2 linked regions of the Daphnia pulex genome follow. The protein of the gene in region 2 purifies or fractionates together with the protein of the main gene of each other region. This does not show direct contact. Links are inferred from orthologs where the notes say so. Each region holds a gene or a part of one and is shown on either strand. Other genes may lie near its edges. The genes, in order: exocyst complex component 7-like and exocyst complex component 3-like.

Region 1 (16,403 bases), on a different chromosome or scaffold from region 2:
AAAAATTCCCTCTTCTTTACACCGCAATAGATAAGATAAGTGCGTAACATTACATGCGTTGTACAAAACGCAGATGTATGTGTGAAGCAATATGGCTAATGTCTCCTTTCAATAAGTCAAAAGCAAGACAAAATTATGTCTCAACAATTTTCCTCTGCGTGGGTAGTTAAGTACTTATCATTGGCAGTAACATTAATTATGCTTTCTGTTTGCTTTTTCTTGAATGTACGTCTTTCTGATGTATGTATCTAGTTAACTAATAGTTATTTAATTCTTTGCCCATGCTAAGGTGTGTTTAAGGTCACCATATAAAACTGGTCTAATCGTCTCACATTAAGATACAATTCCTATATCCCAAATGTGATCAGCTTTTAAGGCCAACTAAAAATAACATACTTTTACAAAATACCTTGATTGATCATATTTTTTGTTGTTGTAGGGTAACATTCTACTATGCTGAAAGCTCTGTACCAGTTAAATTCTGAACCTGTTGTTCTCTTGAAGAAAATTGAGAAATGTGTGAAGAACAAATTACCAGATTGTACAGCTAATATTGATAGAGATGCCATGCAGCGATATCAAATTGTCAAGAAATCCCCTGATCCCAGAGATCATAGTTCTAGTTCACTCAATTTAAAGATTAATCTGACAGGTATAATTTAAACCATTTTGTATTTTTTTCATAGAAAATTTATAACATATGTGTGTGTTGCTAATTCAATACTTTTGCTTTATAGGGGGTGTACCCACTTGTCTCAAAAGAAAAGCATCATTGGAAGATGCATTCACAGAAGCTGATGCTGTCTATGAAACCCATAAGAAGCTAAAAAAAGATGAAAGTGTTGATTCAGACAGTTCGAAAAAGAGGTCAAAACATTATCAAGGAGAAAAGCCGGAATTTGACAAAAAAACTAAGGGATCCGAAACGAGCGATAAAGAGAAAGGAAAAACAAAGAAAAAGTTGGAAAAAGAAAAATTTAAATCTTCAAAATCTGAACCTAGTTCAGAAACGAGTGTAGCTGCAAAATCTGGCCATCACACTGAAACGGGTGGAAGCGGTTTATCTTCATCGGAACTTCAAACCAAGCATTCTCAGAAAAAAGATAGAAAGCACGAAAGAAAGAAGAAGAAATCGAAAGAGAAGTCGAAAGACGGCAGCAAATGCCCTTTGGATATTTCTACGCTAGAAAGCAAGAAGCAAGTATGTATACGAAATGATTTCCTTGGTGATTATATTAAATTAAATCAACATTTTTGGTTTTGTGCAGTCCGATAATGGCGAAGACGTTGATGGTAGTGAAGAAACCGTCGCGATAGACAAAGGTGGGGAAGTTTCCGTTTCTATTCCCAAGCCCGCTTCTGCTGATGAGGAAATCACAGATGAAGAAGTGTTTGAAGAGCCAAAAGAAGTTATTGATGCACTAGTGGAAGATGAACAGAATTGCGATCTTCCCCGTAGTGATTCTGCCACAACAGTTGCCCTTGATATGGATATGGATAGACGGAGCGTTAACAGTGCTACCGACGACGTAGAACCCGAATTTGTTAATCTTGCATCGCCAGATAAAACAAACACAACGGCTGACGACACATTCCCCTTAAATGATGCTACAGAGAATGAAATGGACGTTACATTAGAACGCTCACCTGAAATCGGCTCGTCCCATAAAGTTTGTGAAGAGGAACTACCCGAAGAAACCAAAGAAACAGAAGATGGAGGTAAAGAGCCATATTTATCATTCTTATCATTCTTATTTTTAAAATATCTTATTATTGATCAAATCTTAAAGTAGAAAACAAATTCTCTGTGCCGACCGATAATGATATAATTGGAAAACCCAGCAGCAATCATAGTAGCAAATCGCAAAATGATGTTGAAGATATCTCTCCGCCCGTTTCTGTAAACCAGGAAAGCGGTAAATTAATATTCGATAATGCAAATCATAAGCTCAAATGATAATTTCATTTGCTTGGCAGTAGATGACGCACAAAGTTCATCGGTGGTCGACAGTAGCCTCACAGAAACGACCAATGAAACAGCTTTAATTACATCAAAAAGCGAAACAGGTACTTTAGCATTTCTTGAGCTCTTCTTGTAAGTGCTTTTGTTTAACACTTATATTTTCCAGAAACTTTACAAAATTCTGAAGCAGATGGTTCCACCGTAATGGAAGTTGAGAAACCAGGTTTGCATTTTGATGTTGTCTCAGTGGAATTATATGTTGACTGATAACAATTTTTGTTTAACAGAAAATGACCTAATCGACAGAGTAGAAGATCAGATAGTTCCACGAGAAGGTTTAGAAGAAAGCGCTATTTGCGCATCACCTGCTGCATCTGCATCTGAACAGGGAGTTGAAGTAGTTCCTGAAACAGCAATCCCTAGTTCGCCTGTGTCTGCTAATCTCGAGACGGAGCCAGAAGTCATATTGCCAATTATTGGAGACAAAGATAATGAAAATAGTTCAGATGAAAATTTTTCGCCGGCTAAGAAGATGTGCTGCATGCCGATCGATGTCCCAACTGAGCAGCTTGATCAGCAAGAATCGCAAATCGGATTGGAAAAAATAGAGATCGAATCCGCATTGTCAGCAATTATTGCTGAGCGTAAAACGTTGGGCAAAGAACTGCGGCTACTTCTACTCAAGTCTAAAGAATTGGAAGAAGAATTAACCGTGAAAAATACTGCCATATCCGCGGACGTCATTTTGGTTGAAACACTGTCAGACGCAGTCAATGTTGCGCGTGAAGAACGCAACCGACTAGCGGCGGATAAGAAAAGGACTCATCACATGGTTCTTCAAACTGAAATCAAGCTTAGGGAGCTACAAGTGCTGTTGATCCGACAGCAGCTTGATTTGGGTGACACTAAGCTTGTCGAATCACATCCATTGTTTAATGATATGAGTGACAATGAAAAGCTCGTTGCTGATCTAACAGAGCAGGTGGCAAATAAGTCAGCTACGCATAAGGAGACAGAAGCAATTCATCAAAAAGCCGAACAGGTTTTCCGACAGAAAAATGAAGAACACGAAACACTTGTGAAACGTTTGGAAGAGGCTCGTCAAATGAGCCAAGAGTTGAATGAATACCTAAGCAAAGTTACCTCTGAAATTGAAAATATCAAGTCCAAATTGAGTGAACTTGCAGACGATGGAAAGGGGAAATGTCTACGGATTGTTGACATTGAAGAGGAGTCCATCAAAATTGAATACTGTAAGAAACTGAAAGAAATTGAAGTGAAAAGACAGCACATTGCAGTCATAGACGACAACATGGAATTTGAATATTTGATTCCTAAACTGTGTCAGTTGCTTCCAATTAAAATCCAAGAAGAAAAAAAAGAAGAAACTGCGTCGAAACCTGCCACGCAGCCGGAGAATTCTGCATTAGATAATCCAACTTCACCTGATTCAAGACAATCTCCTCATCAGTTTCCGTTTGCACAACAGTTGCCAACTACGGTACCACCAGTGACAGTTGCTGAATCATTATCAAACTTATTGATAGAAGATACAGGGTCAACATATCATATCATAGAGACTGTTGCTGTTTCTTCAGAAGTGCCATCTCCTGTCGTTATGGAAACTGATTTTTCACCTCAGACTCAGCCAATGTGTTTGAGAATACCGAGTACATCAGTTGCTGGTGGTAGTCCCACTTTATCTAACGTAACAACCACGACACTTGGATCGCCATCCATCATTCAGTCTACGCCATCCAGCAATCCTATTGCTCTCCGAGTAGAAAACTTGACCAATCCTGAACCTACTCAAGCATCTACTAGCCAAAATATAACTCCAGCTTCGTTCGCTCTGTCTCCACACCCTATTTCCTTGAAGTCTTTAAGTGAAGCTTACCCCTTCTATGCCCAGTTTATTAATCCAAACAGTCCAACGGCTAATTCGGATGATGAAGCGATTCTGTATCAAGAAATTGTGAACGGCTGTCGCAATTTTACCCACTGGAAATGCAGTTATTCCTGTTCAAAGGATTTTTCTAACATTGCCCGTGATAACCCATTGTTGCGCCAAAGTGCTGGGATAATGAAAGATTACCTTATACCTTTCTATCGGCTAATGCTTAAGAAGAATACTACGGCCGCTCTACTGTTCGATTCGATCATTCATCAAGCTCAAAAAGCTAATTGGTACGGAATGGCAGCCGTGGATTCAACTTATATGAAGCAAATGTTAGAAAACAACCTGCGATCCGCTATTGACATTGGGACAAAGTATAAAGATCAGTCAGCTATACTTCCGTCTCGCGTAGAATTTTCTCCCTCATCGGGGAAATCATCGATGCCGACTTTTACGATCCATCTAGCTACTCCAGAAGCATTCCGATCTCCAACATTGGCAAACCAAATGCAAGCTAGTAATCAAAATTCAGTCGAACGTTCATCAGCCGACCGGACTCCAGTTAACACTGTTACGCAAGGCGATCATTCGCCCATCGGTGCGCTGAATACAATGATCACCAATCAAAATCGTCAGGTTAATCAGCAGACGCCTGGTCCTACACAACACAGCCCAAACACTGTTGCGATGGAGGGACATCCCGGTATGCCACGTCAAGGATGGACTGGCAACTCCGTGAATAACGGAATGGTTGCATATCAGTCAACTGTAGTGCAAAATACTGCTGTTGTTGTACCTATAATTAACGCACAGTACACAGGTAGACATCGCATGCCTGCGGTTCAGCAAACAGTTCCACCACCACATTCTACTTGGCCACAACAAACTGCACAGCAAACTGCACACCAAGCATACGTTCAAAACCTGCAGTCTAATCGGATGCAAGCACCCGTCAATTACCAAGCTGGGCCTTATCGACAGCAGCAACAGGCGACACTACAACACCAGTACATGCACCCTAATGGTTCGCAACAGTCATTGGGCTCATCTCAGCAACTTCACAATCGTTTGGCTGGTCCTATTGCAGGAGACAGTCCCTCGCGCCAGCAAAATATGTCCATTCTTGGATCGCACCTACAACAAGCACAAGCACCCGTTCAGCAGCAGCGAATAAGACAACAATCTTCCTCGCAACAGCTGACAAATCAGCCGACAGTATCACATCACTTGAGCGGAATGCAACAACAGCAAGTTCCACATTCACAAGCCCATTCCTTGCAAAACGCACAACACCAAATCATGCAGCAGCAACGCCATATGCCCATGTCTTCGCCGCCAATTAATGCTCAAGCGCAAAGACATTTTCCTGGCCAGCAGTCGGACATTGCTAGACAGCCTGCCATTCGTCGACTCTCACGAGATGTTCCGCAGCCACAGCAACACCCGCTTTACACTTGCCTGAAGTGTGGACAAGAAGCTCAGCAAAAGTGCAGCGGGTGTCAAACCACATTCTACTGTTCCCGTGACTGTCAGGTAATATCGCAATTCAGTTATTGTATACTTGTTTTGTAACGTTTTGTTTTTTTAAATAACGATTGTAGGTTGCGCATTGGGATGAACATGGTAAAACGTGCTCAAAACAGGCTTGACGAGAACGCGAAGGCTTACCAACCAAGACCCTAAATAGTATCCTAGTCCTCGGGTGTGAAGGAGTGACAAAATTGAATTTTCTGATGACAAGTGTTGCGTCCTATCTGTTTTCTAGAATTTGTTTGATGCGTTTAAACGTCCTTCGAGTGGCTCAGTTTAATCTAGCGGTGCTACGTTTCTAAGACAACAGCTGTCATCAGTATTATGCACAAAACAAGGTAGAGCCGTTTTATTTTTCTCATGTGTCTCCTGTTCTACACGTCAAAGTTGAACGTTTAGCAGGTTTTGTTTATTTGTGAAATGGAATGGAATGTGCCTGTACAAGTGTGTACATGCTGTTTAGTCATCGCTGAAGGATATAATTTCCTCTTTGTTTTAATAGAATTCAGACTTGTCGCTATTGTAATTTCATTTTTTAATAAATTTAAATTTGGTGTTGAAAATACAATCAGGATGATTTTTTGTTAACCTTGATCGTTTTGATCATCATGCAGCAACGTCGAAAAATGTATCGATTACCGATGAAATTTGGGCCGGTGAGTACTTGATGTATTTTTCACTGTGTTTGCTGAACTGCGCGTTGCTGTACTTGTCATAGAAAGCCTGATACTTCGGCAGGATGTACTCTTTGTTATCACGCTTCAGACTCTCGCGAAGCTCAACGTCTGGCACTGAATAACCTCGTTGCTCTCTGGACAATTCTTCAAACTCCTTGTTAAGGGTCTAAAAGATTTATCGGATCAAAAAACAACATTTTAACACATGTAAAGCTTATATTTTAACTTTTGAAGACCTACCGAGAACTTTTCTTTAATTAAAGCTTTATCCTTTTCCCGTAACCTGCCGGAAAGAAGTACAGATGCTGGAACATCTTCCGAATTCCATATTGGGGCTAAGACCTTGTTCCAACTGTAGGTTATTTAATTAATTGAATAGTAACGGTGAGTTCAACAAAAAATTCAAAGGAAAGGAACAAAGTATCAATACCTTTGAGAATAAAGCCTCTTCTGTTCGTTGATCATTTCTCGGTAAATCGGCTCGCATTCTGGTTCCACAACCTAAAAACACCAAAATATGTGATTACATTTACTTTGACTACAATTTTGTGCTTTACCTTCAACAGGTCTAGTAGGCCACTACGCTGTAGTGCGCTTAACAAATAGTGGCTGTTATTTAATCGAAAAATATAGCGCAAAGAAGAATCGCTGTACGCATCGCTTTTAGTAACTAAAGTTAAATTTAGTTGAACCAACACTTTTTCTAAAAAAAAAAGGGTAATTTGTTAATCAAACCAGATTTTAAGTTAAACCTGAACAAGAAAAATGAATTACTGATATAAAGTCCTAGTAAAGCTTTGTTTCTCTGAGGTTTCGGCCAGGGTTGAGTGTGTACCAATGCGTTGGAATAACTTTGATCTTGGGCGAGAAGCGGACCGACTGTGTCAGACAAATCAGTCAACTGGCCGAGAAAAAGAACGACATTGCTCGTCATTTCATAGACCGTGCCATCTCTAGGCAATGGAGCTGCAGATTCAGAACGCACAGATTCTGCAAAGTCTTCAAGGGCCTTGCCGCACTAATCAATCACAAAATAACACAGTGATAAAAACGAATCTAAATTATGGTGAGTTATTAGCTTACGGTTGTATGGAGATTATTAACCATTGCGTAAAATCGTGTGCGAACAGAAGAATCGCATCCTTCCAGCAATTTATCACAGTCGCCTTTAAAACACACTAAATGGCGTAAGGCAGGAAAAAGAAGCAAAACGGGACCGAACTCTTGACGAGAAACACTTCGGCGCGCTCGGCCGCTTAAGCTCTAAAAATTAGTAAAGTACAAGAATGACTAACCGATGAAATTGAATCAAGAATATTTCCAACCTCGGCATCGTGACAGATCATTTCCAATGCGTCTCTGAGAATGATAGACAGAACAGCTTTTTGATGCGGCAAAGGGACAATACCCAACATAAGTCTCAGTTCACTCTGCAGTAGTCGCAAAAGTGCCGTGAATTCGGTTAAGAACGATTCGATTTCGTGTTCTTCGACAGCATCTTCTTTTATACTGTCTGAAGAAGAAACAATAATGATAATTGGGAAAAAGTAAAATAAATTTAATTTCGTCTTCTCACCCGCAGCGCTTCTCCTGGGGCCCAAAGCCAGTCCTGTAGAGCTTTCCAACGTTTGAGAAGCTTTCAAAAGCATTTGGTTGGCCTTGCGCTCAAGCATTTGCTGTAGTTTCTTAGATGTCTTTCTACTTGGAGTGTCATAACTGGCTTTGACACCTGATTTTGCCTGAAAATTATAAAAGAAGTTCATTATATATTGCCTAATAGTAGTCACAATAAATATTAGATTACCAGCAATGTAGCCGTTCCCGACATGGCAGCTACGGGACTCACGCCTTGGTGACTCGATACCCCAGTAGATGAACTTCTCAAATGATCACGAAGGCCAAGAAGGGTTTTCTGCACAGTATTTGCGCGAAACCGAGCGTAAACCTGGAAAGTAAATCAGTGACAAAGTTTATTTAATATGTCGTGGATTAATGATTGATGATTACAAGTTACATTCATGAAGTCATCTTCATTGTGAGTTACAAGCCAATCAGCTATTTGCATCAAATTGTCTTTCACATCTGCAGAGAAGTGATTTATACTTATCTCCTCTGGAATGAAAATGGAACATTACATTGAATTTTCAGGTAGTTATAGATAAATGGGGTTCACCTTCATCATTTGCTAGAGCTTCCAAAAGTGCTGTAGCAGGAATGGTTTGACTATGTTTTGCTAGGTGTTCTTTAAATTCGCTGATAATATTATCTTTGCCAGTTTCAAATAGGCTCATCTAATACAAAAGTTGTTTTTTAAGTTTGTAAGGTATGGTGATTGTAAATAAAAATGAAACTTACAACATTTTCTAACTCCACACTCTGTGGATTATTTCTCTCAAAGAAATGCATAGCTTCTTGCAATCGACCGAGGGATTGGAGAAAAATTTCTAGACCCTGACTTGAAGGGCTCTCTTTTATGACAGGCTCAACTTCCTTGCTGACACTGTAATAGCTAATGACATGATCCAAAGAGGCTAATGTTTTATCAATGTCTATAAACACGAAGAAAGTTAAAAAGAAATTTAGATTTTGTAAATTTAGAAATACAAGAAATATTGATATTATATGAGATCTCATTAATAATTTACTTTCTTGTTTCTGTTGCAAATTTTTTGTCTCATTGTAGACTGGTAAAATGGTCTTTTCAAGTCTCGCAAGCCTTTCATCAAATGAAGTCAAAATATTGACCATTCCATTAGTAAGCTGAGAACTTCTAGAAGCAGCATCTTGAAGAAAGACTAGTCCTGTCAGCACCTTTACCAATCATTAATTAAACCCATTATTTGTTTGATACAATATGTCAATATAACCAGTCATATATGTGAGTATCCAGTCACAGCAAAGAAATTTGAATTTTGTAACAAGAAATTGAGTTTAATATTCAAACCTTTAAAATTAGTATTTAAAACAAATAAAATCAAATGATATAAAGAAGAACTAAGTAGGCCTATATAAAACAAAAAAGTAACCTTTTCATGTTTATGATTAAAATCTGACATTTTGCTGAATTTCTGTCAGTTGTTTCGTTTCTCGCCATCTACCGGCTAGAAAAAAACGGTCTTTTATTTCGGTAGGGTAGACGGTAGGTAAATAGGTAATTAACAAAAAAAAGTAAATTCCTCGATTGGTGCGTCAAGTTGAAGTTGGACAAAGAAAAAAATCTAAAAAAGACGTCGCCGTCTATTATGGAAGAAAATATTCAACGTTGAGTCCATTATAATCGCAAGCACATGGGAGCAATCCGAGCCCCACTAAAATGTGGCTAATGACGAAATACGGCTCATAAAGAAAAAAAGCGCTCAGATATACCAGTTTGTTTTGGTAAAAGGTAATCTGAGGTAAAATGGAAATCTGATTTTACTAAGTTCTAAATGGGTTCTTGTTTTCACGGAAGTTGTGTCGTAGAAAAATGGGAAAACTCCAAAACGGTGGTGACTCGTGAACTATTTTGCCGTCACCCTTTCGATGACCCGCAGTTCTACGTTTTTTTGAAGCGACTTTAAATTATTTTAATAACCTTTTTACGATTTTGTTGTTTTTCCTGCAACATTCTTTTTTTTTAAGATCGCTTGAATAGCCCTCTATTGAGATCGATTATGAACCAACCTGGCCACCTGTTGAAAATAGTCAACACTAACCTTGAAAAAAGAATAAATTTTGAAGCCAGCCCAGCACCAAGAAATGTCAAATACACAAATGTCAATGTCAAATGTCAACGTGAGAAACTCGTGCATGGTTGTAATTCAATTACGTAACTGCTTTGTCTAAATTCCAAGCCAACTTATTAGCTTGACCCCGTAAGTGTATGAGTAGTCCTCCTTGGGTAAAGAATCAAGAATGAAGTACACACTTCCCTTAATGTGTGTTTTCCTCTTATTAATAAATTGTCAAATGGTTTTATCAATACTACCAATTGTGATCTGGCACGGATTAGGTAATCACATTTAAGGTTTCTACTTCATTCACAATTTCATGATAAATTTTGAAATGGGTATGTAGGTGATGTTTGCTGCAATCCATTGAGTATTGGGGGCCTACAAAAATTTATACAACAACAAATTCCTGAGGTCTATGTAATTTCGCTGAAGATTGGCAAGACCATTCGTGAGGTATTAATTCAGTATAGCTCAATTAAAAATTTACACCAACAATTCCAATATTATGTAGGATTTTGAAAATGCATACATCAAGAATGCAAACGATCAAGTTGAATTTGTGTGTGATCTGATCAAAAATGACCCTAAATTAGCATTAGGATATCATGGATTAGGGGTATCTCAAGGGGGGCAGTTCTTGTAATTATATCTTTATTGTTGAATAGTTAAGATTATCTTTGAATCATTTTAATTTTCTGCTTATTATAGGAGAGCTGTAGCTCAACGTTGCCCTGATCCTCCGATGGTAAATCTAGTCACTTTAGGCTCTCAACACCAAGGTGTATATGGGTTACCCCGTTGTCTAGGAGATGATGTCAAATTTTGTGACTATGTTCGCTCGCTACTTAATCATGGAGCTTACAAAAAGTTTGTCTACTTGAGACCTATACATTTACAAAAATAATTTTAACAGAACTAATTTTATCAAGATGGATTCAAAATTTTGTTACTCCTGCTGAATATTGGCATGATCCACTAGATGAAAAGGCATACAAAAAAGCAAGTGTATTTCTTGCGGATATCAATAACGAAAGGGTATGAGAATTTTTCATTGGTCCTATTTTTAACTGAAATCGAAACTATCTGCTATTTCTTTTAATAGTCTGTAAATGATACATACAAAAATAACCTTAAGCAACTGAAAAACTTCGTCATGGTTAAGTTTACTAAAGATACAGTTGTCCAACCAATTGAAACAGGTACGCGCCGCTTTAAAGCTCAATTGAATCGCGACATTTTTAACAGTGTGTTACTCTTCACCTTTAATATATCCGTGCAGAATGGTTCGGTTTTTATAAGGAGAATGATTTGAACTCAACTTACACTCTTCAAGATTCGCAACTTTACCTTGAAGTACATCGTGTCTTACATTACAATTTTCTATTAATTACATTTAAAAAAAAATCTCTTAGGATCGCCTTGGTTTACGTGCAATGGATGATGAAGGAAAACTCCATTTCCTACAAGTGGAAGGTGACCATATTCAATTTAGCCAAGCATGGTTTAAAAACGAAATCATTGATAATTTCTTGCGATAAATGATTGAAATTGTTAAAAATGTGTGATAATTTTTTCTTATAACCGTTTCCGTCTGATACGTCATGTTATACATAAACTACAATAATCGTTCATCCCGATATCGGCGGCTGAACGATTCTAAAACTATTGGTAGATCAATACAACATCCTCGTCAAAAAGTGGTAGCGTTTGCCAGCTAGTTAATACGTGCGCCCCGGTGCGAGAAACTTCTTATTTATAAAAAGTTATTATAATAGTCACAAGTCCCGGCGAACAAAAGACGGTCTCCAATTGCAAAATAACATATACTGACATCTCCCACGATTTTAATATCATTAAGGGAACATGCGTAGCCTAAACAGTGAAAAATTACATTAATAATAGCAAACTTCCTATTGACGCATGTTCCCATAGATTATATACAAAGAACGACGAGGATGTCCAGACTAGCATCGAACACTTGTCGACATGCGCAGACACATTAGTGTCCAACAAGTATTTACGACCTACTCAATATAAAGTTGGTTTTTTGTTTGTTTTGCAGTTTGTGTTTGGAGGACTGTTTTTTTTTGTCACTTTGATCCTGGGATTTTGAGGTTATTAGGTATAGATTTGTTCGTCAATTACTAAAGAAACCAAAATTCAAATTTCCGAGATATTTTCATATTCATTTTCAAACAGAGTTCCTCAATATGGAATAGTGCAGAAGTCAATCAGGACTGAGCTAATATATCTCCTTTATATTCTCTTATCGGTAATTTGTTTTTATATGGTGATTGATATCCATCCTATCGTTTAATTTTATATAATTTAAAAAAAATATAGCGTAAAATTTATTAACTGGACTCTATGCCATCTAGCGGCAAACATTAATGTCATTTTTATTATAAACAATGGCTGCTCACGATTGGGTGTGAAGCTTTGTCCAGAAGAGAAACATCAGGGCAAGCAAGGTAAATTATCTTTATAGCATGTGCATGGGATATGTTTTGTCCTTCTTTTGTAAAACTATTTAACATAAACTTCAATAGAAAATGGCAGCCCAAATCGATAAGGGGGCTGTCGATGGGAGGGCATCAAGATGCGATCCCGATGAAACAACCCCCACAGTGATAAACAATCATTGCATTAAGCAGACCATCAGAAAAATCAAGCCCATCCCGCCTCCACTAGATTTAAGCAAAAGGGGACCACTGGATTTAACCAGCTCAGAAAGTGTTAGTGACTTTATCAGCTTTTCAGCCAGCCCAAGAAGTCCTGCTAGCTCAAATCAAAAGCACTTGCCGTTTCGTAAAAGGTTAGAAATTTATTTTTGATCCTCCTGATTGTATTTTGAATCTTCCTCATAACTTTTTTCTTTTACAGAGCATTTAGTTGGACCACATTTCATGATGAAAGTGGTTGCAATTCACTTAGTCCTGGTCCATCTTCTGCCATTGTGCAACGGAGCACATATTATGGGTTCATACCCACCAGCCCACATATTAGCCGCTTATCAGTCATCAAACAAGAATCAGTTGATCAATCTGATGTGTTTGGTGACTACATGAGCTCAAATGTGGGAGTAAAGGACGACCAAGAAAGTGTAGCAATTGAAACTTCTTCAAAAGAAAAACCTTGTGTGTATTCTGAGACAAAGACCATGATCACTTACCCTGCTCCTCAAAGTCCTGCCTTTCCCACTCCTGCCACTCCTAGCCCACTATCTCCTATGAATTTCCCTCCCACTTCAACCTTTTTCCCACCCCATTTTCATCCAAAACTTTCATCGTATTCCTGGTCAGGATCATTGCTCAGTCCCGCCCCATCTTTGCACAGCAGCAGTCAAGAAGAATTAGCCCAGTGTCGTCCGTGGAAATTGGAGGTATAGCGCTTTTCAGAATTTAACATTTGATGTGACCATTAAAAACAATTCGTCTTCTTTTTCTTTAATTCCACTTCACAGGAAAATGAAATGGAAGAAGAATCGCCTGATAATATTGCTGCAAGCAGAGAAGAATCTGACACATTTCATGGAGGGCCCCTTTCTAGGGAGGATTACGTACACAGCGAGCCTCAACCAGGAACATCCGAATTGTGCGAAAGATTGCAACGGTAAATTTGTCAATATTTTCCAATGCAAAGTAAACCAATAATATGTTTGTTTTTCAGGTTCGATTTCGTCATGCCACCAGCAGTACCCAAGAATAATGAAAAACGTTATCAGGTCACGAGTGAGGATACGTCCTCTAGCTTGGCCCCTTCTCCTGCTAAACGCCCAATGAATGGATTTATGCTTTTCGCTCAAAAATATCGCCTCCAGCTCATTCAACAGTTCCCAGGACGTGATAACAGGTGATTATCCATTAATTTCGTCTCTGACAATTTTTTCTAAACTCCTTTTTTTTGTTTTAACAGGGCCATCAGTGTAATGCTAGGAGATGCATGGAAACGATTGAATCCAGCAGAAAAAGAAGTTTACACCGCCGAGGCACACTTGAGAGCTGAAGAATATCGACGTTTGTTTCCCGATTGCTGGAAGCGTAAGCGTTCCAAGTCCACAAGCTAGACAATCTATCCTGTTTTCATCTTCTTTATCCTTTGTCTTTCGCTTATTTTTGAATCGTGGGTTGATGGGATCAGATTCGACGAGACGATCACTCGCATGTTTTTTTGCGTCCGGTTCAGCTCTCACGCGAACGTAAATGCAGACATTTTAGTTTTGATCAGGCGCGACTAAGAAAATTTTTAAGAGAAAACCTTTTCCTTTCTGTTGAATGGCTTTGATGTTACATGTATATATTTGGTCTAAAGAAATTTAGAAAAGTGGGTTCGATAAGCTTTTATGTTGTCCCGTTGGAATCAACTGCAGCTTAGCTCGCAGATCAGGCATTTCGAGAATGTTGGCTTTGTTAAGTTTAAACGGTTCGGAAACTTGATAGGCTTCGGAGCTTAAAGAATCAGAGAGTTCTTGCGGAGTACAGGGGGTTAGGGACGAGGAACTGTGCTGATGATGAGCGATCTTTGTCACGGCCTAAGCCAGCAAGGATCACTACGCAGAAAGAAAAAAAAAAAAGAAATTTCCCCTTTTTTGCAATTCCTGCCATTGAGGCTAAATAAGAAGCTTGTTTGTTCGATGTTGTATTCCTTTTTTTATTCAGATTAAAGGAAATATTTATTTGATGAGAGCCAGAAGATGTTATGTCTATCGATGTCAATTCGGCGACGTCGTTAATCAGCGACAATCAATCAAGAATGTGTTACAATTTTTTTTTACCAAATTGTGATAGAAGAGCACAATTAGGTTTGAAAGTGAATTCTTCTCTAATTCGTATAAAGAACTTTAACTACAAACAAGAATGCCAATATCCCTGATCTCAACAGATTTGGCATTCTAAAATCCCTCGACTTTTGATTCGGTCTGCTCTTTGAGCTGTTAATTTCTTCTTTCTGCCTTTCTTCTTCCTACCTTTGAATTTATTTTTTTTTTTTGTTCCTTCTCCGTTATCACATCCGCTTTTGCAAGAAGACGTAAGTGCATTACAATCAACTCTCCCTTTTTTTTTCTTTCTTTCTTACTCTTTTTCATGGGTGTACATGCCCAAAATGTTCAACAAAACTATCAGTGGTTTCAGTGTCTTCCTCTCGCCATTCTGTCCAATTGAAATGCTGCACAACTCGCCCTCAGCATCAATTTGATAACCTTAATTTTCATCCTCTGATGCTTTTCGCCTCGTTTCTGAACAAGGTCGAGCGTGATCTCTCTCCGTTAAAAAAAACACAGGAAGAAATTGTTCTCTAGAACTAATCGTTTGTATCGTGAAAAAAAACTAAATTTTAAAAGGGTTATTTAGATACCTCGGTATTCTTTGATGAGAATTTTGAGACCGAGTTGATTTTTTGGAATGGACGTTAATTAGATGTGCATAATCTATTCACAATGTTGTCTCCGTTCTACTTTCTCTTCTTTGGTTTTTGTAATTGTCTCCGCGAGGGCCAGTTGAAAGTGCAACTTTAAGTTGGAACAATATGAAAAATACACAATCGTAAACAAGAATGTTCTGTGAGATTTGTAATGCGGATTTATATCTATTTCCTCATTCTCATTACATTTGACTACAAAGAAAGGAAAACAAGGTGGGATTTTGAAAATGACCACAATAGTTTTAAAATGGTAAGAGAAGAAGTGGAAACTCACATTAAAGTTCTTTCTGTGACAGAAACAGAACAACATCGAAGCTAGAATTCAAGAAAAATAACAAACATGAACAATAAATGACATTGTGGCTACAACAGTCTGGAGAGACGGCTTTAAAAGATTTACAAGATCGTTCTTTTCCCACACATTATTCAATCGGGTTACAACTCTTCCACTTACAAAAGATTAGTCGAGTTGTAACATGATTGTGTGATGATTACTGTGAACACGTTTTGCAAACTTTTCCTCCTATAATATGCAAATGTGACAAAATAGACGCTTCAACATTTCATTTGCCTTCCTCAATAGGCTCGTGAGGAGCAGGCAACTTATCCCACGTAGGCTCAACGCCCCAAATTTCACGGGCGTATTCGGCGATAGTCCTGTCACTGGAGAATTTACCAGATGAAGCAATGTTGTGGATACACATCTTCATCCAGACGCTCTGGTCCTGCATAGCCAATAACACAAAATATATTAGCTCATTTTTATTTCGAAAATTGCTTTGCTATGTGTGTTTACCTTGTAGGCCTCGTTAACCCTTTCTTGGGCGGCCATGTAGTCGTCATAATCAGCCAGACAGAAGAAACGATCGTGGTACATAAGGTTGTTGTAGATATCACGGAACTCTTCGGGGTTGTTCGGGCTGAAGAATCCTGAAGCAATCTGGTCAATCACCTAAAAACAGTAAACAAAAACATTTGCTATGTTAAGATATTATTCCACTGGATCGTAAATTTATTAAGAAAACCAACCTGCTTCAGCTCGGCGTTTGCGTTATAATAGTCAAAGGCGTTGTAGCCTCGCTTTTTCAGATCTTCCACTTCATTCTCCTTCATACCGAAAATGAAAATGTTGTCCATTCCCATTTCCTCGGCCATCTCAACATTGGCGCCATCAAGTGTACCAATAGTCAAAGCTCCGTTCA
Region 2 (16,459 bases):
CATCAATTTCTCTCGCTGTGGGCCCCATTTCGTCAACTTCGTTTCCTACCAGACCATAGTTCTCAGCTCCATCTTCCCATTCTTCTTCATCTTCAACCTCATCATCGACTTCTGCTTCCTCCAGAATAAAACCACCAAATCTATCACTCTTCTTTCGCTTTCTTCTTCCTCCATTAACTTCTTCTTCATCTTCATCTTCTTCTTCCTCTTCAACTTCTTCGTCATCTTCTTCTTCTTCTGAATCACTGCCTCTATGGCGTTTACTTTTTTTTGCACCTTTATCCCTTTTCTTTTTCTTTTTGGATTTGTCTTTTTTCAGAGATTTCTTGTTTACTGCTTTGTGACTACGGCCACCAGAGTCATTATCCTTCAAAATTTAAAGGTTAGATTTCGTCAAGTAAAATGGAAATGTGTAAACCATACCGAACTTTCAGCATCACTGAGGGCTTCCTTCCTATCGGAAAAATTACTATCTTCGCTGTCCGACATGTTTTAATTGCTTGCTGAATACTTTTTTGAAGAAGAAAAACAACGATTGCACCTTAAACCAAACAATGCTACAACGTTTCAATGAGATAGAAAACAGGTAAATTGTTCTTTCTTTCCAACTATGTTGTTCCTAAATTGAATTCATCTGCGTCACTCACCAGAGGAAATTTTGCAATGCATGGATAAACAAGTTTGGGAGTCTTTACACGCCATCTATCCTTTGATTCGAAAGTATTTCGCAAATGTTTTCATTAAATGTAAAATAGGCCTATGGCTTTTCAAAGTTATCCATTTTAAAATTCAATAAATTTAAGGAAATTAATTATCTTATGTAGTTTTATATCATTCATTTCTGAAATAATTATTCAATTCAAATATATTGTTTGGGGTACCATAGCGCCACTTGCCACTAAGTATTTTGTCGTTACTTGGCCTACCTGGTTTAGTTTAGTTGAAACGGGAGAGCACATGAGACGACAGTCAATACTGCTGGTACTGCACAGATCTAACGAAGTCATATATCATAGCCTTCATAGGTAAATGTACTTTTCGGATAGCACATGTGACAGGTAAATCAGGATGAAATCATACTGACGTAGAACTGTTGATATTCAGTCCAGATGGTTGAGATTTTATAATTAGTATGGGGGAATCGAGTTCCAAGTCCGAACTTAGTGTCAATTCAAACCAGCGGTCAGTTTCGGTACCGGAGATTAAGGCTGTTTTAGTTTCTGAAAACATTCAACCGAAACTACTGAAACATAACTCAAATAGTAAGGGCATCAAGAAGATAACACTTCAAGAATACAGAAAACAGGTTGGTCACAAAGTGATCAATCAAAAATCCACTCAGAAACTTGGGATCACAGTAAGTTTTTGTTTCTTTTTTTACATTTTCTATTACAAGTAAACTGTGTTTTTGTACAGGGTAAACAAGAGACAAATTCAGAAGAGAAATGCAGTGGGCAATCACCAGATCCAGATAGTGCTAATTGCCCCCACTGTGGACATTTGGTTTCCACTAATAAATGTATGAGGTGCATGCGCGTCTTTGAAAAAGAAAAAACGGTACCTCTCACTTCAAATCTTAAGTCATTACCTGGAAACAAATCATCCGGAATCTCTCAGATGTCAAATGATTCATCATATGGCTACCGACGCACTCGGACTCAAAATGCTCAACCTTCAAGACAGAGTAGAGCCAAATTTGAGGAGCCACAGTGTGTAACACTGAGTAGCGATGAAGATGATGACTCCTTTCAGGAAACCAAAAAACTCAAATGTGATGGTACCGACAAATCAACTGAAAAATTGGATGTTAAACCTTCAATTGTGATTCAAGAACAGCCAAATATTAAAGAATGTTAGTTAAACACATTTATTTCCTCTGCTGGTTTTTCTTATTAATTTATCTTACTTTTTGTTTCTTTTAAATTCTTTGTTTTTCTTCTAGGTGAACCTTTAAATGGTGTCTCAATGGATTTGCCTATTGATGCAGAAGAGGAAATTGGATCTAGTGATTTGCTCCGTTGGAAAGAAGGTGGATTGAATGGACCTTTCTTTGCCGTAAACTGCCGATCTGTTCGTATTGGATCATATAAGATTACTCCAGTGGGACGTGTGTTATTCTCATCCGAAGGAATTATGCTGCAAGCTCCAGTTTTTCACAACCACGATGGGCCATCAGAAAAAAATGCTGTTTGCGTCAATGTAGCTATCCCAAGTCAGCAACTATTAAAAGTGGACGCTTTTTTCAGCCGAAAGCTTCAAGTCATCTTCCTAAATGTTGGTCCAAGCTGGTGTCGCCAGCTTTCAACAAAATTAGGGTTACCCAAAAGTGGCCCATATTGGGATTCTGCTAGCGAAGACGAAAATAAAAAACGATTGACACTGCTGCCCGATGGGTTGGACGATGCAGCGAAGAACGCAATCAAACAAGTCTTCGTTCCTCAAGGTGTTTACAACGAAATTAATCAGGCCGAGGCCAACCGGCTCTTGGTTATTTCCTCACCCCCAGAAGTTCGTGATGCGCTTAAACGTCTCCCCGCGACCACTGCTGTATCAGCAGAAACGAGTGTTTCGACAACTGAAACGCAACTGAATGGTGGCAAAGACGACACTAGCAAAGTTGAAGTAAGTAGTCGTAATGCTAATACCAATAACTACGCTATTGGTTAAGTGTGTACTTCGTATAGTTGAAAGCCGAATTTGTGCCTAAAATCAGTCTTCATTCTCTTCTAGATACGAATAACCAGGGGATCCAGTAAATCTCTCGCAAGAACTGTTTTGCCAGTGACTCCAATGTTTTCCTGGTCGGATGGACCCGACCGCTTCTCAGTAACCACTGAAGATTATGCTTGTTTAAATCAGGACAATCTACTAAATGACAGGTAAATTTGGCATTGCACCGTTGTCTTTTTCTGTAATTACCTTTAACTATTTGCTTTGTTTTTCTTTTGCAGTATCATCGACTTTTATCTTCGATACGTTTTCAGTACTAAAATTGATGAAAGTCTGAAGAAGAAATGCCACGTATTTTCATCGTTTTTCTACCAAAGGTTAACGACTCGCCCACCCAAAGTCAATGGACGGTACAAGCTCTTAATCTATTACAACAACCATTTTGAAGTGTAATTACTCTAGAGATGAATTTACGCAGGAAACATCCAATTGAAGATGACGATTCCCTTTCGATAAAGGAGAAACGTCATTCGAGAGTTAAATCGTGGACAAAGAAAGTGGACATTTTTGAAAAGGATTATCTCGTGATACCCATCAACGAGCGTAACCATTGGTTTCTAGCCATTGTCTGTTTTCCTTGGTTATCAGGACCGGTGACCGCCATAGACAATCAACCCATCAAACTTCGCCCCCAACAAACATACTCCAAGAAAACAACCGCCGACTTACAGAGGTCATTTGTGGCCGTGAACGGTGAATCGTTTCACATAGGAAATACCACAGTTACGCCTGTTAACTCAAATTCAAAGGTATTGATGTCTGCCTTTATTAGTTTAAACGAGTCGACATGATAAACGAACCAATTTGTTCTGTTTGCTTGTTCTTATCCGTTCTTTAGTCGACCAAAGATGACCAGATTACGTTGAATGTTGACACAGAAAGAGACGAAGCTGAGAGCGACGAAGAAGAATTATCATGTGCAATCGACCGCACTCCAGTAGAAAAATTGCCAGAGATTGCTGGTCCTATCAAACAGTAATTCAAATTCATTTTTGTCTTTTAATAATGCTTTACAGTTTGCCTTTAGTGTAGTGTTTTTCATGCGACATTCTTATGTTTTATTCTTGTATTCTAGGCCTTGCATCTTATTTTTTGATTCATTGGCGGGAAGCGCACACAATCGAGTTGCTACGACTCTTCGCGAGTATTTAATGGTGGAACACCAAGTAAAGAAAATGAAGCCAAATGAGAAATCAATTGTTGCTTTCAGAAGGGACGCCGTTAAACCGTCAACCAACCCCTTTACTAAAGACTCGATGATATCGGCATGCCTTGATGTGCCTCAACAAAATAACTCGTACGATTGCGGGATATTTGTGCTTCAATACGCAGAATACTTTATGATGGTAAGTTAAAAATTTTTTATTTAATTTTTTTATTTTGCTGAATTAATGTTTTTATTTCATCAATTCAGAGTCCATTTCTGGATTATAATTTACGGAATATAAAACTAAGCAATTGGTTTCCACCTCATATTGCCGGAAGGAAAAGAAAAAACATCCAGTTCTTATTGATACGGCTCACCAAGGAAACGAATCCTTCAGCAGACCAAGTTCTGACATTGTTACCTCGAGATGACGTCAGAATTGCACTTCAAGACCGTAATAAGACTGCGGCCGCTACAAATAAAGAAAATGGTGAAATTCATAGTGAAAATAAGACGGAGGCGATGGAGGAAGACGGCAAATCTGAGGTGTGTCTCGATAAAGAAAAGGTTGAAAAGGGAGCCAGCCCATCAAATATCGTGTATGACCAAGAGGCGAATAATGAAATGGAGAAATAGATTTTTTTTTTCTTTTTTGTTATCGGTTTGTCGTTCTCCTAAACTAAAAAAAAAATGTTTCGACTGCGAGAAAAAACTGGTTACCAACGTGAAAGGTTTCAAAGTTTGTTCAAAAACGTGACGTCAAACACATCGTCAGAATCAGAATATCAAAGTCGTGCTCTAGCTATCGTTCATCAGCCATGAAATTAATTGCCACCGGACATAAAAGGTAGCGAAGAGAATGTTAGGCTCGGTAGTTTTCAGAATCGGTATTGATACTCTTGGCTATTCTACGGAAATCTTTTGTTTGTTTTCCCTTGGTATCCATTCCATTCCGCATGTGATCTTTCAGCCGTCACCGTTATATTCCGAATGAAAAGATCGATAATCGCTTTATGAAAACTGCACACGTTGGTAATAGAACTGGGCCTATAAGATGGCATATATATTCCACCTTTTCCTTGGTATGTCACAGGCACGTGAGCTCATTGATGTCTAATTGGATGTAGGTACAACCGGAAGGCCTTTGTTGAGAACATGAAAGGAAAGGCTCGAATAAGACGATCTGCTTGTACGAATGTCGATGACATGTCGGCGGCTAACGAAAGTGGCTTAATTGTCACTGGGTTTTTTTTTGTCTGTAAATCAACTCTGGAGTGGGATGCGCAACCAAATCATCCCGTTTCAATTGAAAAGGCGGCGATTGAAGTTGACATCGATTCACGCGTAAGATCTAAATCTAATTTAGTCTCGAAAAAGCTACTGTCAAATCATTAATTCAATGTGTAGCTTACATTTATTGTACTTGTACGGGTGGGGGGAGGAAAGTGGTTCTTCTAGCTAATGGATAGATGGATAATATGCTAACAGCATGAATAATGGACGTATCTCATTCATGAGCAGCCAGTCGAACTGCCGATGGAAGCCAGGGGGAAGTCCTGAGCAGAGGGACCGTGCTGTATTCCATCAATGTTCTTTTCCATTATGTTGTGTTGGCGATTCTAGCGAAATATTCTTTTCTTCCTAAAGATGCCTTTCCTTCAACTGGTGTTATTCAGATGCATATGTGACCATTATTTTCCAAATATAAAGTGATATACTGTAATCATGGAAGCAGTCCAAACGCGTATTGGTTGAATACACGGTTTTGCCAAGAAAAAATATCACGCAGAATCCACCTATTTAGTTGTTATACGTTCATATTGAAACTCTACACTTTTACAAATGTATACATGAAATAGGTTGACTTAACAGATTGATTAGTAGGTAAAATTAAACGCAATGATTAATATCCAAATAACAATTCGATGTAATAATTAAAAAACCGTTTCAAGGGAAATGAATTCTTAAAGGCTTCCATGCCGCAATTGAATTGCCGACATTGAGGGTCCCAAATGATAATGTGCACCTTGCAAAACCAGTTGGCACAATTTTGGCTTTCACCTCCTTTCATGCAGCTGTTGGATACTTGGGAGGCTTTTCAGTTTCTTTACAGTATATTATGAGCGATGGTGTGATGAAGCTGACAGAGTCTAATCTGCATGGATTATGGAGACTGCGCGTAGGATCGGGATATGGACGAGAGGAGAGCCTTTCTTTATGTCTTGCTGCTTCCTCTCCAGCAGCATCTATAATCCTATAAAAGAGACAGCCATAGAAAGACAAGGAATCACTCTCTGGCTGCTCGCACCGGGATTGCAACAGTTTTATAGCTCCGTATTTTTTCAAAAGGTGTCAAAATCATTTGAGTTGTCGCATCAGCAGCAACATCACTTATCAAACCAAAGGCGGAAACCATCATCTCACAGCATCAGGAGCGATGGATTGGAAAGTTTTCGTACTAGTGGCTATTCTGCCTTCCGCCCTGAGCCTGCCTATGGAATTGTGTTGTCAGAGTAGCAGCAGCAGCAGCAGCAGTATTGCTTCTTCTTCTTTGAATGTCAAACTCGACTCATCGATACCTGTTTCAGATTCGGAAATGCTGGAGCCGTTCATTAGCCCATCGATTAGCAGCAGTTCGAAAACGCCGGATCCGGTGCTGATGCTGATGCCACAGCAGCACCAAGAGTCGCCGTCGTGTTGCGGCAACGATAACGATCTGCCGACAGAAAAGAAACAAGTCAAGAGAACACGAATGAAAATTCGTGGCACCACCAGTAGCGGATTACGTCGAACCAAACGCTTCCCTATTCATCTCGATCCGCTCTATCAGTATCGGTACCTCGCCAGATCGGGCCGTAAGTCTTATATCATGTCTTTCGTAATTTCTTTTGTAATGTCGACCGAACCGAGTTGATGGTATATGCACAGATTATCTGGTATCTACTCAGACAGTTTTAAGTTTTATGAATGATCTGTCGTTGATTTATTATCCGCATTGTTTGTATAGAATGCCCAACGGCGAAGGACGGCCAACCCGAATTTTATTGTCCCACGCCAGACCGAAATGGCAATTGGCGTTGCATCGACGACTTCCAACTAGTAGGACGCTTTGATTCATTATAGTTTTCTTCGAATGAATAATACTCATGTGCACTTTCGCGATTGTAGTGTGACGGTGTGCGTCACTGCCCGAATGGCGAGGACGAACTTCCGGTCTCCTGCCTCTTTTATCGTGTGGTAAGTTACTTGGATTGATCGCTTTGCACAGATAATTAAATTTGTCTTTTCGTTTTTTAAAAGGTTGAAACTCATCTTTTGAGCGTAAGCCAACGGCTTAACAGCGACGAAAACCGACAGCGAGGTGTCCCTCGCTAAAGTGTCCATCCTATAGCCGAATTCTTATATGGTCTCATTATAACAAGCCGCTGCCATTCGTTGTTCTGATTAGTTCCACGTTTCTATGGTAATTCCCGACCATACGTCTATAAGAATTACAGTGCTAGTGTGAAGGCGCCTTATAAGACGCTGGAAATTCCACGAAACGGGACTGGATATGGACACCATTGTGTTATAATTCAGAAAGTTCTGTGCGCAGAGAAATCATCAAATTATTTCATATCATCCTTTCTTGAAAAGAGAATGAATAAATGTCAAATAGAATTCTCAAATTAAACCTCGCGTCGCATTTTTTATTGACACTCCAAATTACGCAACGCTTAGTAAATAAAAACTGAGTTAAAATTCCAAGGGTGATGAACAAATATATAGGTCACACCTCGAAGAAGATTATTCATTTATTATTCCGTGATGTAAAGTTAATTGATTTCTGTGAATTGTTAATAAGCCAGATAGATATCTAAAATATTCATCCATGCAACGAGAAGTTGCGGTCCCAGGAATCCGCAGGAATCGCACGTAAAGACCTTGAAGGATCTGGGGAATTTATAATTCATTCCTAGCCCGGGCAACGTCGTTTGTGAAGACGAAACATTCGAGTTCTAAGTAAGGAAACTCATCCCCAAAACAAATGAAATGGCTGCTCCGAGTATAAAACATGAATAAAAACAACCCTTGGTAGTTGATGGACCTTCATTTCAGCGCTCTATATCGAAATACAATGGATGTAGAATCCCCATCTGGATATGATATTTTGCATAATGGTTATAGAGTGGGATTACAACCGATGCTTCGTTGCGGTCTCATCTCACGGTCGGATCTCCTCTCCCGGAGAGCGGCATTGGTCAGATCGACATGTTATTGCTACGGCAACTCTTAAGCGACTACGCATAGACGACAACTATGTTGTATTATACGGTAGATTTCGAAGGCAGATGGCAGAATGGATTCAGCAGATGAGAGGTATATATATAAGTATAGATGCACGAGCTGCGCGGTCATCGTGTAATGTATGCTGAACCGGGGGTATGTATGTACGGGGGCCGAGCATCAAAGCTGTTCTCTTTCAGTTTGGCTGGCTGTCTCTTCAAATCGTGTGTCAATCTGTTTGGATCGGACGCAATCTGTCAGTCCAGACAAATTTGACCTTTTCACTATTGCCATTAAACATGACCATCGATTACTGCTTTTTGCCATATTATCCTTTCTAGCGCAAGTAGAATGCTACAATGAATCATTTGCCATCAATTTAAAAGTATAACAAATAAATAAAGACTCCAGTTTGGGTTTATCGTAGTAGGTTATACATGGCGGTTGAACATCCGATGCAATGCTGAACGAATGAATTTACGAGCAGTGAAAAGAACAATACCGCTATTATGCCATAATAACGCCTACGGACAATATGCTAATTAACATTTGATGGAAAGAACAAAGTTTCGTCCTAATTTGCGTAAGATACTCGACGAATTAATGCAGCGCCTACGATCCTACGTGAAACAACAACAGTTTTTGTTCAAGAAATCGAGCATCAGATGTTTCTACAACGAAACAATCGCCTAAAAGTCCCGTGGGTTGCCATCTTTATAAACGATGCGTTAGTTTACATAATCCCGTTTTGTTTTCGCTCTGTTTTTCAGATAATGAGACGATCCCTTTTTTTTAGCAAGTATCTCCTATGTATTTTTATTTACTCGATGTATTATTAATGAACATCTTTGACGAAACAATCAACTTACCACTCTACATTTTAACAGGCGTGCTGTGTTGCATTATCATTTCCGCAAAACTAATTGGTAATTGGCTCAATGCTATTATCCCTTTATATTAAGGCAATTTGTTAGGCTCACTTGTTGTTTTACGCACAAACTATAGGATAAAACATAGTTGGACAACGTGCTGTGTTATAATAAGATAAATATTTGAAATTGGGCATTATCAAAAATCGTGAGCATAACGGGATGACTACCGGATGTGTAATTAACGTATAAAATCGATTTTCGAAAAAAACAAAGAAAAATAAAATGACAAAATGTAGAGTAGGCTACCTACCTTCCCAATCGATCCTTTCGCGTTTCCCCCTTACTAATACGGCGCTACGCCAGCCGTTTTTTTTTTTTTTTTAACTTTTAAAATTTTAATTAATAGATTAACCTTTAGTTACTTAAGAAAACAGTCAGCCTACTCGTTGTTATCAAGTGTCACACCCTACACACAAAAAACAAAAAACACCGTGGCTTTTCCCATACTAAGAAAAACTAATCTATAAGATATAGGTCATAGGGGGAGAAACCGAAAAACGCGAAAGAGATTAATTCATATTTAGGTGGGTGCTGTATTTTGTTAAGATGATTTCAAAGATATTGCGTAATAAATAGGAGAAAAATTAATTAAAATAAACCGGCAAAGGCGAGAAGAAATATTGGAAAATCGATTGTAAGCCCCAAAATCGATCTCTAATGAACGCCCAGTCGGCCCAGTGACGAAAAACTGCCAGAGTGACAAATCATGGAATAACAAATAATAATAAAATATTTATCTTAAATATACGAAGGTGATAATTCTAGCAACCACAAGGAGCGGAGAATCAGGTAATAATTGAGGAATCACTAAAATAACCCAAAACTGAATAACAATTGTGACAATTGAATGTTAAACTAGGTTGTCAACAAAACACAAGTTGTTTGTTGTTTTCTTGGTAGTTGTAGGTTTGTGATAATAGAGAAATGAATATTGAAGTTCTTCAAGAAGAGGCAATGCTCTCTGCTTCTGTTTCATTGTCATCAATGTTGCAGCGCCCTGATCAGCTTGAAAAGGTAAAAGCTCATTTTTTGGATTGTTTCCGTAAAAAAACCTTAAAATGTAAACAACATAATTATATGTTATAACCTGATGTTATGTTTATTTGTTTTGTTTTTGTTTTATTAAATTTAGGTGGAGCAGTACAAACAACGAGTAACTAGGAAAAAAACTTCAGTTGAAGCAATGCTGAAAACAGCTGTGCAAAGTCAACTTGATGGTGTGATAAGTGGGCTGCAACAATTGCAATCAGCATTGGTTGATATTAATGACATTCGTCATAGGTATCAAAGCACATTTAAAAATGTTCACAGATGACTTCTAGACTACTACAATTATTATATTGTGTTATGTTGGCATTTAAAGGTTACATGAAATTGAAGAGTGTGTCACAACAATTCCCACACTATGTGAAAGTGTTAAAAATGTAAGGCAAGAACATGTTGTTTATTCACAATATGCTGTTGCCATGGAAAATTTGAAACATATTTTCACTGTTCCAGAAAGGTAACTTTTACATAGTTTTTTAAATTTTAAATTACTGTTTTTCTTTCAATTGAACTACTCTAACTAATTTTCAATGGCAAAATTAAAAGACATAGTTTATAATCTGGGATACATTTTAGACTTTAGTCACTAGCTGCAAGTTATTGGCCAACTAAACATGAAAATATGATGCTAAATTAACTTAGAATTACCAGCTTAAATATAAGAAACTTAGAAATGTTATTATTTCATTATCAATATAGAATATAACCATTAAAAATCCGACTTTTGTTCTAGTGTCGATAAAACTCGCCAGTGGATATCCGAAGGAAAACTTCTTCATGCGCATCAAAGTCTTACGGATCTAGAGAACTCACGTGATGACTTGCTCTACGAACTCCACAGGTTACCTAATCATTCTTTGCAAGATAAGCAAATGCTTAAGGTCTGAACATATTTTCTATTTTTATTCGCACGATGTAAATATGTAATACTCATTTAAGGAATTGTCTCAATCCGACAGGCGTATTTTTCTGGAGTGCAACAGTTGTCAGAACAATTGGGAAAGCAGCTGTGGTTACTTTTGGGTAGATCTTTGAACACAGTTCGGAAGGAACCGCAAGTGATTGTTACAGCAGTTCGAATTATTGAGCGGGAAGAACGTGCGGATGCTTATGCGGTGCAGCGTCAAAAGCAAAGTGGATTCTTGCCACCGGATAGACCAAAAAGATGGAAAGGTGATTTTCAAAATGTTAGTGCACATTTAACACATTTAATCTGTCTTATTATATCAACTTTTAGCAAGAGCACTGGAAGTTCTATACGATGCGGTCGTTGAAAGAATAGAGGGCAATCAATTCGAAGAGAGAGCTGACAATAAAATGTGGCTAGTGCGTCACCTTGAGGTGACTCGTTTGCTGATTATCGAAGATCTTCGTGTGGTGAAAACTCTGTGCGCCCCTTGCTTTCCTCCTCATTGGGATATCGTCAATCAGTTTTACCAGAAATATCACACGAGCATCAGTAAACACCTCGAAGAAGTGATTACAGCTGGCCTGGTTGGCAATGAATTTGTTACACTGTTGTCATGGGTGCTACAGACATATCCAGGTCCAGAGCTTCTCCGACACCAGGATGTCAACATCGACCCTACTTCCTTAGGGCCAATTTTGAGCGATTCTACCATAGAAAAGCTTTTCCAGGTAGCTCCAGAAATTTGTCATAATCTGCTCCTTTATACGTAACTTATGACATTTGTACATTTATTTAGGAATATATAAGTAATATGGCCTCAAACTACAACGACTGGATGCAAAAGACTGTTGATGCAGAGGCCAGGGATTGGAGACGACCCATCGTTCCGGAATCGGACGGCGATGGTCATTATCACACCGAGTCGATCGTTATCATTTTTCAAGTAATTATTCTTAGTTTCTTTTGGCAAATCGTGATGTAAAACGATTATTCACTTTTCGTTTTAACTCATTGTTTAGATGGTGGAGCAAAATCTAAGTGTGTCGCGTACAATAAGCAACGAATTGATGATGCGGGCATTGATTTTGGGACTGGAACAAATCACGCAGTATGGAGAGATGTACCGAGAAGCGATAAATCTTTTCAAAAACAAACACTTTGAAGATAGAAGCCAAGTATTTGCGTCGCAATACAGTTACATTTAGTGAATTACTAATTGGTTCTCTCTCTTTCAAGGTGCCTTATTTTACACACTACATGATCGCAATTATCAACAACTGCCTGCACGCGATGGAACTTTCTCAGCAAATGAGATCTCGGAATGGGAATAAGGGTGATCAAAGTGGCACTTCATCATTTTTCAACAAATTCGAAATTCTTAGCCAAACTTACGATGTAAGGCCTATAACCTATTACTAGTTTAAAGAGGACCCAAACTAATAGTGATTTGAAAATCAGAGCCTTAGGAATGAGGCAGCTGGATTTTTGCTAGATGAGGCTTTCCTGGATCTTGAACCACACTTTCAGGATCTGTTGACTCGCAAATGGGTCCTGTCGACCGTTCCCGTGGATACCATTTGCGCAACTTTGGAGGACTATTTTCAGGTGAGAGTTATTTCCCCGTGCCATTTGAAACACCACCGAGCTAATGTATTATGTATTTCAGGATTACATGCACTTGAGGCCACGCAATTTTGAATACGTCATCCGGCAAGCTGAAATATGCATCACTCGAAAATACATAACGTCCATTTTCCAGAAGAAGCTGTCGTTGAAAGACGAACGAAGAGAAGTAGCGGACAAAATCATCCAGGAAGCTGGGCAAATCGAAGCTCTTTTAGCTCCTGCATCTCTCAGTCGTGCTTTTTCGGCGGATGCTCCTAAGGTCACCGAAGATGCGGCAAAGGCGATATCTGCTTTGGCCGAAGTCATCAAATGTGATTCAGAAATTATAACCCTGGAGCTCATAAACTTCATCAAAAAATACCCCGATGTCAGTCAAGATCAGCTCACGTGTCTACTGAGTCTTAGAGGAGATTTTGGAAGAATTGAAGCCCGCCAAAGAGTGGCCGACTTGTTGTCCAGCGGCTCCAAAGACGAGAGTGCTAGATCGACGATTTTTTCTTTGATTACTGTTCCAAGTTCCATTTTCTCGTAAACACTCTTTCTTTATCTACGCATGTTATCCGATTTAATAAAAATGCTACAGCATTCAATAATGTTTGTAACACCAACGACGATATTGCATTTTCAACGTGTCACAGTTGAATGCGCGTATTTTCCGGGGGTTTCCAACTTCAATTACGGTTCCTTAAGTATCATAACGGCAAGTAACTATGTGTGCGTCACCGAAATAACGTTAAATTTAGTTTTGGCTTTTGGTTTATAGTAAAAAATCGATATGCGTTCTTCCTTACCAAAAGGGAAGCCTAGTAATTTCTCAAAGTATAGCCGTGTTGGGATTACATTTCAAGTAATCTAAACCGATTTTTATACCGTTCATCTCTTGTACTGTTTCACATCTTCACGAGTTATTGTATGTGGCCTAGGTGGCTTATTGGCTTCATTGCTACACAAGGATTGTAAAATTTCCGTTATCCGAAAGTGGATGAATCGAATAGTAGATAAAAATGAACGGTGGTTGGTGGTTTTTTAGTCAAATGTGTGTACGTGTATAGAAATAGGGCAACTTCTCGACATTTTCATAATATTTAGACCGCATTGAATTTCAATTTTAAGCTATTTTCTCCCCCAACAGTGAAAAGGAAACTCAACTTTACTTTTATGCTGCCTTTTAGTCTTTTACTTCGCTTGGAGCTGGTTTGCTTGTGTGCTGAGTTTGAATTGAAGTTAAATGTATCACCAGTAGATGGCCTAGAAGCCCGCTAGGCAAAAAAAAATGAAAAATAAACAGCTGTTTGCACTAGTAGCTGACTAGCTGTTAGTCTGTTACCTTTTTCCTTACGAAAAACCTATGCCGAAACATTACATTTTGACGTTAAGGTGAACAGCGTTTGCAACATGGCTTCAGTTTGAATACTTGGTAGTAACTAGTGCACGGAAGGTGAGTAATAATATTTTCTCGTGGTTTCTATTGCCTTGCCAAAACCGTTTGTCTATTTAGAGTTTTGTGCATCATAGACCCGTTACTCAAGTCCTTTCAAATTAATGGTTCGGTGTTTAGTTTAAAGTTACTTATAGTGTGAGGTGTACTGACACGTCATTTGAAAATTGAAATACTAATCTACCTACATGTGTCACCACTCATCAGAAGCAAAAGTGACATGTTTATCTTGGGCGTCGTTGGGACCGTTTTTTTGTAGATTACGACTACTAGCAATTAAATTGAGTCGGTTACTAGAGATAAGTTCTTTTAGGTGTTTATCGTTAGTGTATAAATATCGGGGATTTTTTCAAATGTCAAACATTCTAAAGAGGCGGTAAAATTGTAGCAATCACAGAAGGAGCACGGTTGCAAGAAAGCGTATATACATTCCACATGTGTCTAAAATATGATGCCAACAAAAGGAAATGATTCAAATGACTAATCTCAGTGCTTTCATCAAATCAAATGATTTCAAGCTGAACATCTTGAATATGCATAATGCCATTTCTTAGAACACTATATAATGGATAGTCCTAAGAGTAATTCCAATAAATGGAATTGATAGTGAATATGTTTAGATTGTTTTAGGCACCGAGGTCACCTAGCTTAATTACGATCGTCCTACATATTTTTGTTATCATTCTCTAGACGTCGACATTTTTCCTTGCCACTTTTATCTTCGCAACGTACATATTTGTATATATCTTTACACAATAGGGAATTAAATCGAGCTTAACTTGAAACAGTAATAATTCTGAATTATTTTATTGTCGTGTTTCTGGGGTTGTATCATTGAATGAGAACAGGTTTTGAGTGTAAAGTGGAAGTTCCGATGGGCATCCTACTATCCTAGTGAAAGTCAAATCCAACGTGCGCACCAATTACGGAATGATTTTGAAAGCATATGACCTTAAGCACTGCGATGCAGTAATGCTCGTAACTCTAAGGCTATCCAGATAGAATGCACATTCTCCTTGAAAGATAACATATTCAACTGATATCCCGAATGTCTTTTTTTTAAATCGTAAATGTCACGTTTCTAATGATAGATTTGTTATTTATGAAATTATTGCTAGTGGCTCGTAGTTAACCACCGCTGACGTTAGGAATTTTGGTGGATCACGAAATTGAGAAAGTTTACAATCCCGAAAAAGAATTGGGTGACTGAAGCGTAATATTTAATGCGCTTTTAAAAATCTCACGAAACTTCCGGATCACCTTGATACCCCAAAAACTTTAAGGAAAAACACGAATTCGAAGTATCTCTGTTGTTTGGGCGTGCCGCTAATGATCCAAGGCCCTTACAACCGTACACTTTCTCTTGGTGTTTCTTTTTTTTTTTTTCTTTTTGCATATGAGAATGTCTAGCGGGTGTATACAACGGTGATAGTCGTTATAAATTATTGAGGGTCTATGTTGCCAGAGCCAGTTGATAACCGGCAGCAGAGACGATAGGTTGTTGTTTTGTTCATCTCTCTTCGTAATCTTTTGTCAGTCGTTGTGTATTATAACCTTGTTCTTGCGACTGTTGGAGCGGCAGACCCTTTCCTGTTTTGCAGCTCCTGTCCTTTCACTGAAATCGGTACACAAGAAAGTTATCTGGCTAGTAGTAGTTTTTTCTTTCTAGCTAAGTATGCCAAGTGAAAGGCAAAAAGAGAACCATTGCCAGAGAGGTTCTCAGTAATTATGTTTTTAAAATTAGATTTGAGTGACTTTCTCATGTTCGATTGTTTTCGCTATGATTTTGGGTTACTTTAAGGCAAAGAGAAGCTAACTGTTATGGGAATTGTTCATCCATCCAATAATCTTTAACGGTTTCATCCCTTCTAGTGAAGAAAATTTGAAAAAAATGGATGTTACCCAACTGGAACAGAAATTGAAAGAACATGGACAAGAACACCTTCTCCAGTTTTGGCCGAGTTTGTCTGAAGAGGAGCGAAGCCGATTGCTCCATGAACTCAACGAGTAAGTTTAGCATTTCTTCGTATTATAAAGACATTTTTTTGCGGTGCTCAACTAACTATTTTCAATATTGTGTAGCATCAACATGCCGGAGGTCATTGAATTCTTTCGCCACACGATAGCATCGGCAAACGACGAGGAAGAAAAACTGGACGAACATTTGCAGCCGATTCCACCTGAATTGCACGGGGCAATTACCCGGACCAGCCCCGAACTGTTGAGGCATTACGAACACCTTGGTGACTGACTTAAAAAAACTCATTAATTATAGTCGGAAGTGCATGATTTGTTATTGAGTTGATATTTTTTTGGGTACAGCCATGGAACAGATCGGCCAAGGTCGCGTTGCTGCTCTGCTC

Evidence for each region.
Region 1: the proteins of exocyst complex component 3-like (region 2) and exocyst complex component 7-like purify together in Homo sapiens (affinity purification with mass spectrometry; 5 studies listed by BioGRID and IntAct, counting the BioPlex papers as one, with this or other methods). This does not show direct contact. The link is inferred for Daphnia pulex from reciprocal best matches to the Homo sapiens genes EXOC3 and EXOC7.

The regions. Positions count from the first base shown.
Region 1 is NC_060020.1:3,973,801-3,990,203, forward strand, and holds exocyst complex component 7-like, read right to left. Parts: upstream 9,226-16,403; 5' UTR 9,124-9,225; coding exon 9,094-9,123; intron 8,958-9,093; exon of another isoform or gene 8,935-8,957; intron 8,879-8,934; coding exon 8,713-8,878; intron 8,617-8,712; coding exon 8,423-8,616; intron 8,359-8,422; coding exon 8,241-8,358; intron 8,180-8,240; coding exon 8,082-8,179; intron 8,013-8,081; coding exon 7,872-8,012; intron 7,807-7,871; coding exon 7,644-7,806; intron 7,581-7,643; coding exon 7,393-7,580; intron 7,331-7,392; coding exon 7,151-7,330; intron 7,086-7,150; coding exon 6,842-7,085; intron 6,771-6,841; coding exon 6,625-6,770; intron 6,569-6,624; coding exon 6,498-6,568; intron 6,420-6,497; coding exon 6,308-6,419; intron 6,234-6,307; coding exon 5,997-6,233; 3' UTR 5,911-5,996; downstream 1-5,910. Other genes in the region: uncharacterized protein LOC124192964, read left to right, coding at 454-652, 738-1,201, 1,269-1,719, 1,791-1,916, 1,978-2,067, 2,130-2,186, 2,251-5,393, 5,462-5,509; palmitoyl-protein thioesterase 1-like, read left to right, coding at 9,962-10,058, 10,124-10,233, 10,292-10,419, 10,489-10,647, 10,710-10,815, 10,883-10,979, 11,060-11,133, 11,193-11,318; transcription factor SOX-13-like, read left to right, coding at 12,333-12,595, 12,664-13,162, 13,244-13,392, 13,450-13,632, 13,696-13,846; glycogen phosphorylase-like, read right to left, coding at 15,765-15,926, 15,998-16,153, 16,231-16,403. UniProt on the Homo sapiens protein: Component of the exocyst complex involved in the docking of exocytic vesicles with fusion sites on the plasma membrane.
Region 2 is NC_060017.1:4,101,320-4,117,778, reverse strand, and holds exocyst complex component 3-like, read left to right. Parts: upstream 1-9,712; 5' UTR 9,713-9,864; intron 9,865-9,934; 5' UTR 9,935-9,999; coding exon 10,000-10,089; intron 10,090-10,207; coding exon 10,208-10,356; intron 10,357-10,438; coding exon 10,439-10,579; intron 10,580-10,855; coding exon 10,856-11,003; intron 11,004-11,081; coding exon 11,082-11,295; intron 11,296-11,359; coding exon 11,360-11,760; intron 11,761-11,828; coding exon 11,829-11,975; intron 11,976-12,051; coding exon 12,052-12,207; intron 12,208-12,268; coding exon 12,269-12,427; intron 12,428-12,490; coding exon 12,491-12,637; intron 12,638-12,698; coding exon 12,699-13,190; 3' UTR 13,191-13,248; downstream 13,249-16,459. Other genes in the region: transcription elongation factor SPT5-like, read right to left, coding at 1-367, 424-489; sentrin-specific protease 6-like, read left to right, coding at 1,030-1,058, 1,132-1,357, 1,417-1,852, 1,943-2,622, 2,731-2,879, 2,952-3,080, 3,149-3,479, 3,569-3,705 and 2 more; uncharacterized protein LOC124194259, read left to right, coding at 6,315-6,732, 6,885-6,976, 7,046-7,114, 7,178-7,252; UDP-N-acetylhexosamine pyrophosphorylase-like, read left to right, coding at 15,988-16,103, 16,179-16,339, 16,419-16,459. UniProt on the Homo sapiens protein: Component of the exocyst complex involved in the docking of exocytic vesicles with fusion sites on the plasma membrane.